Notamacropus eugenii: one gene and its partners. The protein of the gene in region 1 purifies or fractionates together with the protein of each later gene. This does not show direct contact. Links are inferred from orthologs where the notes say so. Each region holds a gene or a part of one and is shown on either strand. Other genes may lie near its edges.

Region 1 (3,744 bases):
CCAGTGAGGGTCCAGTGACTGGTGGAAGTCCTAAACTTTCAGCTACAAGTCCACATGTTAGTGGCCCAGCAACTTGTGTGTCACCTATCACCTTTACCATTCCTGTAGGGTATCACCATGGCTGTTGACAAATGTAGCTTAGGTTATTTATTGCAACAGACTGTTGGTGGGTCTCCCTGCCTCAAATCTCTCTTCACTCCAGTCTATCCTCAGCTCAGTTGTCAAATAGCTTTCCTAAAATGAGGTTTCACTATGTCACATACTCCCTACTCCCTTTAACCAAACTCCCACAGCTCCCTATTGCCTTCAAAATCCATTGTAAAATCCTCTAGTTGGCTTTCAAGGCCCTTCATGAACCCAGTTCCTTCCTACCTTTCAGTCTTAGACCTTACTCCCCCTCCACATACTCTGCTATCCAGTGACAGCAGCCTCCTTCCTGTTCTATGTACACGATATTTCTCTCCCAACTCCAAGCATTTTTTCAGGCTGTAATACATACCTAGAACTCTCTCCCTCCTCATCTCTTCCCCCTGGCTTCCATCAAATCTCCACTAAAGTCTCACCTTCTGAAAAGGGAATCCTTAATGTTCCCCTCTCTTGAATGTTTCCAAAGTATCCTGACTATATCGTTTGTTCATGGTTATTTCTATATCCTCTCTTTGTATCTCAGAGCTTAGCACAGTGCCTGGTACTTAATAAATGCTGTTGACTGGAGCTGAGTCTTCCCAGAAGGTAGTACACACTTAGCTCATGACTGCCTTCTCTGCAGGTAGCATACATTTTAGAGCTAGTTGGATTACCAGGGTGATTGTTGACCGCCCATATTTGAAAATGAGCTCCATGCTCAGTCTCAAAAATTTGTCAGGGCAGCCTGTTTCAAAGCCAAGAACTCCAGTGGAGACATAGAACAAATCTCATTACTAGTAAGCCCTCTACTGGCAAAGGCAATGAGTTTCAGAATCAGATATAAAACTGCTCCCGGGCTTTTTAGGGTGGCTTCACGGAGTCACATAAAAGGCAGGCTTGCTTTCTGCAGGTACCAACACCGATGCCTGGGGGAGGACTTGACCATCTCTGGAGAAAGCTTTGCTTCGCTTCGTTCTGTTCATCTCTTATCTGTCTATATGCCCTATATACAACATATCATCCCTGTTCTAATGACATTAACTCTTCATAACGTCATGGGCTGTTGCCTTCTTGTCTGCCGGCTCAAGGCTCGGAGCACCGTGCCTGGCACGAAGTAGGCGCTTAAGAAGTACTTGTAGCTGTTAGAATAAGGATCCCTCCTTTTAAGGATCTCTCCCGCGGGTTTGGCAGGGTTTCCCTTGTCAGCCATAAAGTCGGGAGCATTTCTATGCCTGGCGGCTTGCCCAAATCAAAGGGAGTCAGCGCTTCTCGGGTCCCAGCCCTGTCACCTTCCAGGGGGCGGCTCCAGAAGCCACACTCAGTTCCCCAGAGGCAGGCAGTGCTTCAGGTCTGTTCTAGGGGCAGTCACCAAGTGCCCAATGGGAGCCATAACTGGGCATAAGCACCGGGTACGACAGATCCGCGCACCTGGAGAGGACTTTTTAGCAGCCCGAGGCTACTCTGCGAGTGCGCCAGGTAAGCGCGCACCTGAGCCTGCTGGTGGATGAGGGCTTGCGGGAGGGACCCGCGCAGAGGGAGGTGCCCCAGACCTGCTGCTGGGTCAGGCGTGTCCCCTGGGATCACCGACAGAGCTGGGAGGGTCCGCAGTGCGCCCTCATTTTACAGATGAGGTAACTGAGGCCATCCCGGGAGCACGTGACCGAAGAGGGGGGCTGGCAACTCAGGCCTGCGTCCCCGCACTGGTGCAGGAGCTCCAGGGAAAGGATGGGGAGGACCTCGCGACCTCCCGCAGCTGGAGATCCCCGGGGCTCCCCCCACACACGTATGTGTGACGTCACGTGAGTCCCTTCTTCTCTGGGTTTTGGGGGAGAGAGGGGGTGGGACCGCGTGACTTGCGGGGTCTCTGGGGCTCCCGCTCTTGGCAAGTCCCGCCTCTCCCCCTAGCAGGCCCCGCCCCAGTCCCTTATGCCCCGCCCCTTACGCGCTGCAACCCAACTCGGTGTCTCCTCCGCCCCCTTCCGCCGCTTGGCTTTCTCCCCGCCCCCCGAGGACGTTCTATTGGTCGCACGGCTGCGGGCGGGGGCAACGTCTCTCTCGGATTGGCGGACGCGGAGGCCTGGCCGCTCGTCATTGGCCCGCGGCGCGGCGGCAGCAGTGTGGATGCGCGCCTGAGCGGACGGCGCTTTGTTGCCTCAGGGGGAAGCCGGGGGGCGGGCGGCGGTTGCTGGAGCCCAGGAGGCGCCGGGGCCGGGCAGGCCGGGGCCGGGGGCCGCTTCAGCGCGGCGGCGGCAGTAGCAGCCATGAGCGGCGGCGTCTATGGAGGAGGTGAGCGTGGGCGCGGGCCGCGCGGGCCCCGAAGAGAGCCGGGCCCGAGAGCGCGGCGTGGGGGATCGCGGGCCGGGGCCCGGAGCAGGCATCCCCGCGCTCCGGCGCCGCTCAGGGAGGCGGGGAGAGGGGTAGCCCTGAAGCCCCTGCCGGAAGGCCTGCCCGGCCTCCCTTGGGTTCCGGAGAGGGCAGCGACCAGGCGCCGTCACTGCAGCGGGGAGGTCGCGGGCCTGCGGGCGCCAGCGCTGCCGGGGCCCCGAGGCCCAGAGTGGGCAGCCAGCCGCGTCCTGGCGCCCAGCACCAGCCCCCGGGACACCGAGGTCGGAACGGAGAGAGCCCGGCAGCACCATGCGGCCGCCCCGGGTCATGGGGGAGGGGCGGCGGCCACCGGCGGAGAGAGTGCCCCGGGGCCGGGTGGGGCCTGCCTCGGAGCCCGAGATGGCGAGGGGGGTCCTCGGGGCCCTGCATAGATCGGGCATCCACCGAGGGGCTCCGGGGCCCGCGCCTCGTTCAGAGCGCCCCCGGACACGGAGGGGCCGCCTCAGGGCAAGGGCCCAGGCCCTCTGGGTGGGCTCCTGAGGGGGGTGTTGGCACCTTGTGGGCCTTGAGTGCCCTTTGTCAGTGTCTCGGGGAACGACTGGGCGGGATGGTGGGTCCTGATGGCGCATTGAGCTCCCCGACCCGTCTGAGAGACGTTCAGAGAGTCACGGCGCTGCCGAAAGTTTCCGAGATTGCTGGACCTGGGCTTCTTAGCCTGGTCCGGGGTAGATTCAGGCGGGTCAGTGACCCCGAGCCGGAGAAGCTTGGGCAGCACCCAAAGGCAGCTTGGTTTGAACTCACCTGCCCCGGGACCCAGCGTCGCCTTGGTGACGATCTAAAAGAGCAGCCGACGTTCCGAGAAGCGGTCCTTAGGTCTGGCCAGCCTGGCCCAGAAGGTCCGAGGTCTGCCCAGGCCGTGCTCCTCCTAGGTTCTGCAGACCCCCGGGACACCTGGGACCCTGGGGCCTGCGGGGCCGTGACAGCGGACTCTCAGAAGGCGTTTTGTGCTCAGGACACTGGTGGAGAAACTTGGGGGATTGATTGGGTTCAGGAGACGGAGCAGGGGATCGTGGGTTTGTAGTCTGGTCTTAGAAATCTTTGTTCAGCTTGCCTGCGCACCTTGTGAAGTGAGGTGGTCGTAAGAACCGGGCCTGGCAGCTGTCAGGCTGGACACCCCATTTGGTTGGTTTTATGACCTGGGGGTCCTTTTCAGACCTTATTTTTCTCTTCTCTAAACTGGGAGAGTCACCTTGATGATTTCACAAGGGGATCACCCTAGTTGCATTTCTTGCT
Region 2 (3,744 bases), on another chromosome or scaffold:
ATTCAGCCTCAAACGCACAGTAGCTCAGTGGCCCTGGGCAAGGCACTTCACTTGTTTGCTTCAGTTTCCTATTTCTGTAACGGGATGTCATGAAAAGCACTTACCTCCCGGGTGGTTAGAAGGATCACATCGGAGTGCTATATTAAAGGCAGCATTATTATTATTCATTAAAATGTAGTAAGTTCCTTGAGGGCACTTGTAGCCCCAGGGATGTAGCACAATGCCTGGCCATGGGAAGGGCGCAAATGCCCGCTGACTTAATCTAATGTGAACAGGCAATCAGTCACGCAGAGATGGGCAGCGGGGGCACGCGGAAGTGGGGGAAGGAGAGCAGCCCCCCGCAGCAGCCCCTCCAGCCCTGCCGAGACTGGATGGGCTGGTTTGGCGGGGACCTTGGTGCCTGGGCTGTCTCTCCCAGGCTGGGAATGAATGGGAAACCTGCCCTCGGCCACCCCCACGGGTCTCGGCCCTTAAGCTAAAGACAGTGACATTTACTAGGAGTTGATCAGAAGGCGGTGAAGGTGCGCGATAGCTTCGGGGTCTGCTCGGGTTTTTCCCCTCCTCCTGTCCTGCAGGGGGCGGGAGCACAGCTAGGAGGAGGAAGATGCCTCCGGCGGTCTCCCGGTTGGGGGCGGGGGGAAGGAGGCGGGGTTCTGGCCAAGGGAGGGAGGGAAGCCGGCAGTTAGAGGCGGTTCTCGCGAGGGGCGGTATTTGAGGGGTGTCCCTGGATTGGGTGAGACATGAGGTATAGGCGGGGCCTAGTCGGGGGCTGGGCGGAGTCAGTAGTTTGTTGCTGTCAGCGGGAAGTGGGGACATTGCTGCCCCTCCTCCACTCTCCACCCCCCCCCCCCCCCCCCCACTTCCACCGAGGGCTGAACTTCCAGCGGGTGGGTGCAGTACCGAGCCCAGATCAGGATTTCTCCGCCTCCTCCCCTCCCAGCCCAGGAGCGGAGCTAGGACTGACCCGATCCATACCGGATCAGTGCAGAGTTTAGAAGCCGGATCAGGAAATCTCGGGTCCCAGACCGGGAAATCCCGGAACCTGGATCAGTAAAGCTCGGAGCTCGGACCCGGAAGCCCCGGAGCTCGGATCGCGGAGGGGGTTCCTTGGGCGCGGAGCCCGGAACCTGGATCGAGGCTGAGACCAGACGGGACGGAACGATGTCGGGCCGCGGCGCGGGCGGGTTCCCGCTGCCCCCGCTGAGCCCCGGAGGGGGGGCGGTGGCGGCGGCCCTGGGGGCCCCCCCGCCCCCCGCGGGGCACGGGATGCTGCCGGGAGCGGCGTTGAGGGGCCCAGGGCCTGCAGGAGGCGCGGGGGGCCCCGGGGCCGCAGCCTTCCGCCCCATCGGGCCCACGGGACCCGCGGCGCAGTACCAGGTGCGGGGCCGGGGGCCGGGGCTGGGGCGGCGTGGGGCCCGCCGGGGCTCTGGTGCAGGGGCCTGGCAGAGGAAGCGGGACTCACGGTGCCAAGTTCAAGGGTCACTCCAGCCAGGGGTCAAGGCCAACTACAGTTAGGGTTGGGGGGCGGCCCTAGAACACAGAACACCAAGTCCGGGGCTTCCCAGGCCAGTGGCTTCCCAAGATAAGGGCACCATCATAGGGAACTCAGAGGTCATCCAGGCCTGCATCCCTCAATCCCCCATTTTACAGAGGAAGAAACTGAGTCCAAAGAGGTTAAGTCGCTTGGCTGAGGTCACATAGATAGTAAGTGTCCAATCTGAACCCAAGCCCTCTGATCCCCAGGCCAAGCCCTATGGGAAGGGCAGGTGGGTATGGAATGGGGGTTGGGGGAGATTTGGTGCACGTGTGAACCTGGGTAGGGCCTTCGTGCTAAGGCCAGCCTGCCCCAGGTTGTGGAGCAAAGGGAAGCTAGTTTGAGCACCTGAGAGTGAAATGCCACATTGGCTGATGAAAGGAGTGGGGTAAAAGGGCATGTGTGGAGGTGGAAATGGAAATGGGGCGGTGGGGTGTCGGTGCAGGTGGGGACAGTCAGGGCTAGAAGTGTGAGGTGCTCCTGAACAAAAGGAGGCCCCTAAGGAGTGTGGAGATTGTTGTAGGCAGAAAGAGCACCGAGGCCTTCCATGGGTAGAGAGGAATCCTGGGTTTCTGGGGGGATATGGACAAACTAGGGGAGGGTAGAATTACTTAGGGGTAGGGGATGGCAGCCCCATTGCAGGAGTGAGGTTTCCTAGGAAGATTTTGTTTCAGGCGTTTTCTGTTTTCTGGAGCCATGAGCCGGTAATGTTTTATCTTGCCTTGGCCTGTTATGGTTTTATGTAACTCCCAGTGGCTTTTTTGGAGGGAGAGGTGGTGCTGATGGGAAGCTTAGAATTTAAGTTGAATGGACCTCTTCCTCATGCACCAGGACCTCCAGAGGAGGTCCAGTGGGTTTCCTCCGTTGGGTTTTTCAGGAAATGGGATATAGCTGAGTTAAGCCAGGTAACCAGGATAAGTCCTTGGGAAAGGAGGCCTGGGCCTATGAGAGCCCAGCTCCAGGATAGTTACAGGCAGGCATTCTCAGCACTTCGCTGTCATTGTGTCTGGGAACTGATTGCAGTAAGAGGGTTCAGAGAGACTCAGTTGAGTGCAGGTCTTGGAGTTGCTTGGAGTTGGGCAATCCTAGAGGTCAAAGGTTAGTTACTTCTGCCCCTAGAAGGCAATACCTGACAGGGATTTGTGCTGGGCTCTAGTTAGTGGGGACTTCACACCTATTTAGCCCAGTTCCCCAATCTCTTAGTTGTTTTAGATTGTTTATGAATACTTAGGAGAGTCATATCCTCTCCTATCTTCGTTCTCTACACACATTTCATTTCCGTCCACTTTGGGCTATGCTGAAGACTAAACCACCTACCTTAGCATTGAATTTTCTTTGCTGATCCACTCAAAGTCTTTGGTTGCTCTGTTCCTCTTTTCCCTCCAGGCTGAGGGCATTAGAAGGAAAGCAGCTTACAGAGGTAGGGGAACACCTATGCATTCTGCTAGCACTCTCAGATGATAACTGTTAATAGCATTTTCCCCCTTCTTACCTTTCCCAGTTGATTGGATATGATAAGCCATATTGACCCTAGTCTCAAGGCCTTGAGGGAAACAGGTCCATCTTTCCTACCTCCTGCCTTGCTCATGAGGACTTTTAGAGCCAAGACGGTTCCAGGAAGATCCAAAAACAAACCAGTTCCTTGAGCCTATCATCTTTGACATGAATTACCAGTATCCTAGGCAGCTTCAAGCCTAGTATGGATTCAGGGCTAAACTTTTTTTTTAAACCCTTCCCTTTTTGAGATGATTAAATGGCATTGAATTATATTCCCTCTCAACTTTCTCTCCTCCCCTTCCTTCCTACTGTTGGGAGCCGTAGGAAGGGTTTACTCCAATATGGGATTCATGGAAATAGCCTTGAACATGGCAAATACAGAATCAGCCAGACTATTTAGTTCACAAGACTTTAGGGAATCAATGGTCCCTTGCTCCTGAGGGAAGGGCAGATCTGGATCTAGGGGAATTTGGCAGGCAGTGACGGGTGGGGACATTTTTCTGGACCACTGGCCCTCCTTGTGCCTAGACCACGATATCTAGGGGATAAAGAACTTTGTGATGCGGTATCAGTACTACTAGGAATGTCAGATGAGCTAGGGGAATAGGGACTGTGAGTGTCTGTGGTGAAAACTGAGGAAGGAGTTAGTGGGGGCCTGTTGAAAAATGAGGAACTTCTCAGTGACTGTTGGTATTTGGACAGCTCAGCAGTAG
Region 3 (3,744 bases), on another chromosome or scaffold:
AGGGAATAAGCAACAACCAGCTGAAGGCAAAATTTTTTTTAGTCAAGAAAATGGAATGTTCTGATGGGTAAAAACCCAATAGTTTTTTCATTTAATACGATGATGGGATTAGCCTAGATGACCTCCAAGGTCCCTTTGAGCTTGAAATTCTATGATTTCTTTTTAAATGATGACTATTGCCAAGATAAAAGCGGTGAAATTATTGTTATGATTATCACAGGGTTCTTATTTTTTCCCAGTACAAGAAAAACTCACTATCAGGAATTTATTTTGCAATTGAGAGATCACTGTATCTTGGCAGTTTATTCTTTGAAAATTTCAGGGTTAGTTCAAGGCAAGGTGTGAAGAGATTTAAAATATTTAGTAGGAAGTATTATTTTTACATGAAATGTTTTCATTCTGGTTGCTGTATTACTGAGTGATTGCTACTGGAAGACATCTGGGTTTTTGTAGCAAGGCCAGACTTTTGGCTATTACATTAACAAGAAAATTAAAACTTACTGTTGCAGGAGCTGGGGTGGGAGGTGGGGCATAAGATGGTCTTTCTGTTTGAAAGAAAATAAATAACTTCTTGTAAACAACGGAGATATAACACTAAGCAACAAAACTACCAATGGCCCTGTTTTGAAGAAAAATTTTGAGAAAGAATATTTTGGAATTCCCATTTGCTAGGGCATTAGTCCCTTATTCACACAGTTTGATAAATATAAAAAATGAAACTTACTTGACATTTTGGAAGATTAAGTTCTCAGTCCCTTAACAATGAACTTGGGACACTAAAAAAAAAACAACAAAACAACAAAGAAAATCAAAAGTATGCATGAGAGAATGTTTTCCTAAGCAGTCAAAGAATATGATAAATAAAATAGTGTTTCTGGGTAAAACAACTCCAAATTTTGCCTTTTCTCCTTTTTTAAAAAAATCCTTTAAGAATGTGGCTTGGAAGCTTATTTTCTGAATTAAAATGATTATTACAAATTATTGGGGGAAAATAACAGCGATTGGACTAGTGCAATAGTTTTTAAAATTTTACCCTGAAATTCTATGAGATTACTGAGCTATTCTCATTTTAAGAAATATTTACTGATAACACAAGCAAATTTAAAGATGCTCTTTTTAAAAATGATTAGGAGAAAGAATACAACTGATTAGCAGTTTCTTTCCATTTAGTGTCTTGGAAACTGCTCTTTATTACTCTTTTGAAGCTGGGCAAAGAACAGGAATTTCCACAGCTTAAGAGAAAACTATAACTTTTCAAAAAGAGAAGCAGATATGCTATATGAGCAAGAGGACTGAATCTGAAATCAAAGCTTTTAGGTCTGAAATTATAAATTTCTCCTATGACTTTGGTAAAGTTACTTAATCCTCTCTGAGTCTCAATTTCCTCATCTGCAAAAGGAGGTGATCAGACTTGATCAAGATTTCTCAACCTAGGTTCCATAAAAATGTTTTTAAAAACACATATATTTAGTGGAATTGGTTTCCTTTGCTTCCTTGTAATCCCATGCATTTTATTTATTAAAAAAAATAATACTCTAGGAAGGCTTTACCATACTGTCAAAGGGGTCCATGATAAGAATCCTTGGACAAAATGATCTATAAATTTCCTTGCAAGACTAAATCCTATACACTTGTTTTAACTAACTATAAGTTTTACAGAAATAATAGTGTTTCACTTTATTATATTTCTGATACTGGACAAAGGATTTAGGAGCATAAAGTTAACTAAACACTTTGGGGCAGCCACTTATAGTGGAAAGAGCACCATCTCCAAGGTCAGAGGATCAGGGTTGTAATTCCACATCGGACTATTTATTTACCTGTATAACCTTGGGCAAATCACTTACTCTCCCTCATTTTCTCATCTGTAAAATTATGGGATGGGGGTCGTGGGGGTAGGGGAAGGAGACTGGATTAGATGGCCTCTAGGGTCCTTTCCAGCTCTAGATTTATTAAGCTATGACTGTGTTTGTCTTAAAAAAAAATGTCATTCTAAGTACATATAAATGGGAAAGCTAAAAAAAAAAAAATCAGAAAAAACGACAAAGTTAAGGACCCCTTTAGTAAAGGTCCTACCCACTCAGGATAACTTTCACCCAGTGACTGCAACGTGGAATGAATGCATCAGACAAAGATGATTTTGGGGGGCATGTATCACCTCAACAAGGCTCTTCAGAATAAGGGAGGAGGGGGAACCATGACTGCAACGGGATGAATATTCCCGGTGGATCTAGTCTCAGTACTCTAGGGAATTTCCCCATTTTTAAGGAAGAGGAGCATGCGGACGTCACGGACCTCTGACTATGGAGTCCAGCTGTTCCCCGCGAGCAGGTGCTGCCGGAATCCGGCCGCACTTCTGGGGGGAGGGGTGGAAGGACCAGGACAGCGTTCCCCCCGCCCACCCTCAGACCTCCCCTTTGCCACTCTCAGGAGCCCGACAGGGACAACGTGGCTCCTCCCGGGCCGCGGCCTACACAAAGAGCTCCGGTTTCCCCGTCCCCGGTCGGGGGGCTGCCGGGACCTCAGCAGGCTCAGGAGATTACTCCACCGGGGGCCGCCGTAGGCCTCCCGCCCTCCCGCCCGGGCTCACAGCCGCCCCCGCCGCCCAGCTTGGTCCCAAGTTCGGGGCAGAGGCAGGGGCGCCGCGGAGCTCTCGCCCCCCGCTCAGTAGGCGCGTCTTCCCCGTCTTGCTCCACTTACCCGGGCTCTGTAGAGAGGCCGCCGCTCCGGCTCCTCTTCCTTTGTCCCGCGCAGGCCCCGCCCCCTCGCGCCGCGCCGCCGCTTTCGCGGTCGCACTTTCGACACACGGTTGGACTCGGGACTAGGACCAACGACGGCTCCTGGGAAGAAAGAAGGGCACGAAGCCGCGGCATTGCCAGGCGAGAAAGTATCTGGCACCGAGTCCGTCTCTTTTTTCCCTCAAAGGTTCTCGAATTCCAGAGGTTTTTTTTAGCGGGGCGCAGATTCGCCACAGGAGCCGGAGTGGGAGGGGCGAGAAGAAAGACGACAGCCCATAGACAGGAAGAGGCCCAGTCGGAAGCGTAAACGCAGCCTTTCCTGGAGGCGGGGCCAGAGCGAGGAGGCGCCGGGTGCGTGGCGAATGTGATACCTCGTGACCCAGAGCCCGCGCTCGCACAGCCTCTCAGACTCGAGCTGGGGGCGGGTTCAAGACGCGCCGTTGCGTAAGTAGGTGGCCGTGCCGTGTGCACGTATGCAGGCGTGCGCGCTTCCGCAGCTCAGAGCGTGCCCGCGCTGGACGGTAAGGGCTGGACTGCTCGGTCCTGCTCTGAGCTGAGCCTGGTCTTACCCACTCAACTGTCCGGGTCCAGACTAAAGTGTTTGTCTATAGCAAAGACACTCCTGACCCAGCGGGGAATGCGGGAGGGGTGACCCGCCCTAGAGGGTGCGGTCGGGACTTTTAGGGTTCAGAGCTGGAAGGGAAGGAGGGCTAGAACAGCTGAGCATCGTCCCTTTATTTTACAGAGCGGGAAGCAGGGCTGGAGAAGTTAGCTTGACTCGCCCAACGTTGTGCAGGTAGTAAATAAATAGCAGGGGCTAAAGGCGTCCCCGAAGCCACGGTCCTTTTAACAGCGCCAGATTACGGGGGACCCACCCGCCCTCTTACCCGGCTCCCTGGCATTGCTGCATACTGTACCCTCAGAACTGCTCCCGAATCTAGTGCTTTTACCCTTACGAAGGCAGTCTTTCAGGGAAGAGGAAAAGGGGAGGAGACTGTCTCAGAGG

Evidence for each region.
Region 2: the proteins of ACTL6A (region 1) and SMARCD2 fractionate together in Homo sapiens (co-fractionation; 5 studies listed by BioGRID and IntAct, with this or other methods). This does not show direct contact. The link is inferred for Notamacropus eugenii from reciprocal best matches to the Homo sapiens genes ACTL6A and SMARCD2.
Region 3: the proteins of ACTL6A (region 1) and SMARCE1 purify together in Homo sapiens (affinity purification with mass spectrometry; 9 studies listed by BioGRID and IntAct, with this or other methods). This does not show direct contact. The link is inferred for Notamacropus eugenii from reciprocal best matches to the Homo sapiens genes ACTL6A and SMARCE1.

Annotation. Positions count from the first base shown.
Region 1 is NC_092877.1:344,710,041-344,713,784, reverse strand, and holds the start of ACTL6A (actin-like protein 6A), read left to right. Parts: upstream 1-1,031; 5' UTR 1,032-1,505; coding exon 1,506-1,602; intron 1,603-2,219; exon of another isoform or gene 2,220-2,387; coding exon of another isoform or gene 2,388-2,412; intron 2,413-3,744.
Region 2 is NC_092873.1:343,814,047-343,817,790, forward strand, and holds the start of SMARCD2 (SWI/SNF-related matrix-associated actin-dependent regulator of chromatin subfamily D member 2), read left to right. Parts: upstream 1-963; 5' UTR 964-1,161; coding exon 1,162-1,377; intron 1,378-3,744. UniProt on the Homo sapiens protein: Involved in transcriptional activation and repression of select genes by chromatin remodeling (alteration of DNA-nucleosome topology).
Region 3 is NC_092873.1:356,293,171-356,296,914, forward strand, and holds the start of SMARCE1 (SWI/SNF-related matrix-associated actin-dependent regulator of chromatin subfamily E member 1), read right to left. Parts: upstream 2,788-3,744; 5' UTR 2,701-2,787; intron 777-2,700; 5' UTR 732-776; coding exon 725-731; intron 546-724; coding exon 502-545; intron 1-501. UniProt on the Homo sapiens protein: Involved in transcriptional activation and repression of select genes by chromatin remodeling (alteration of DNA-nucleosome topology).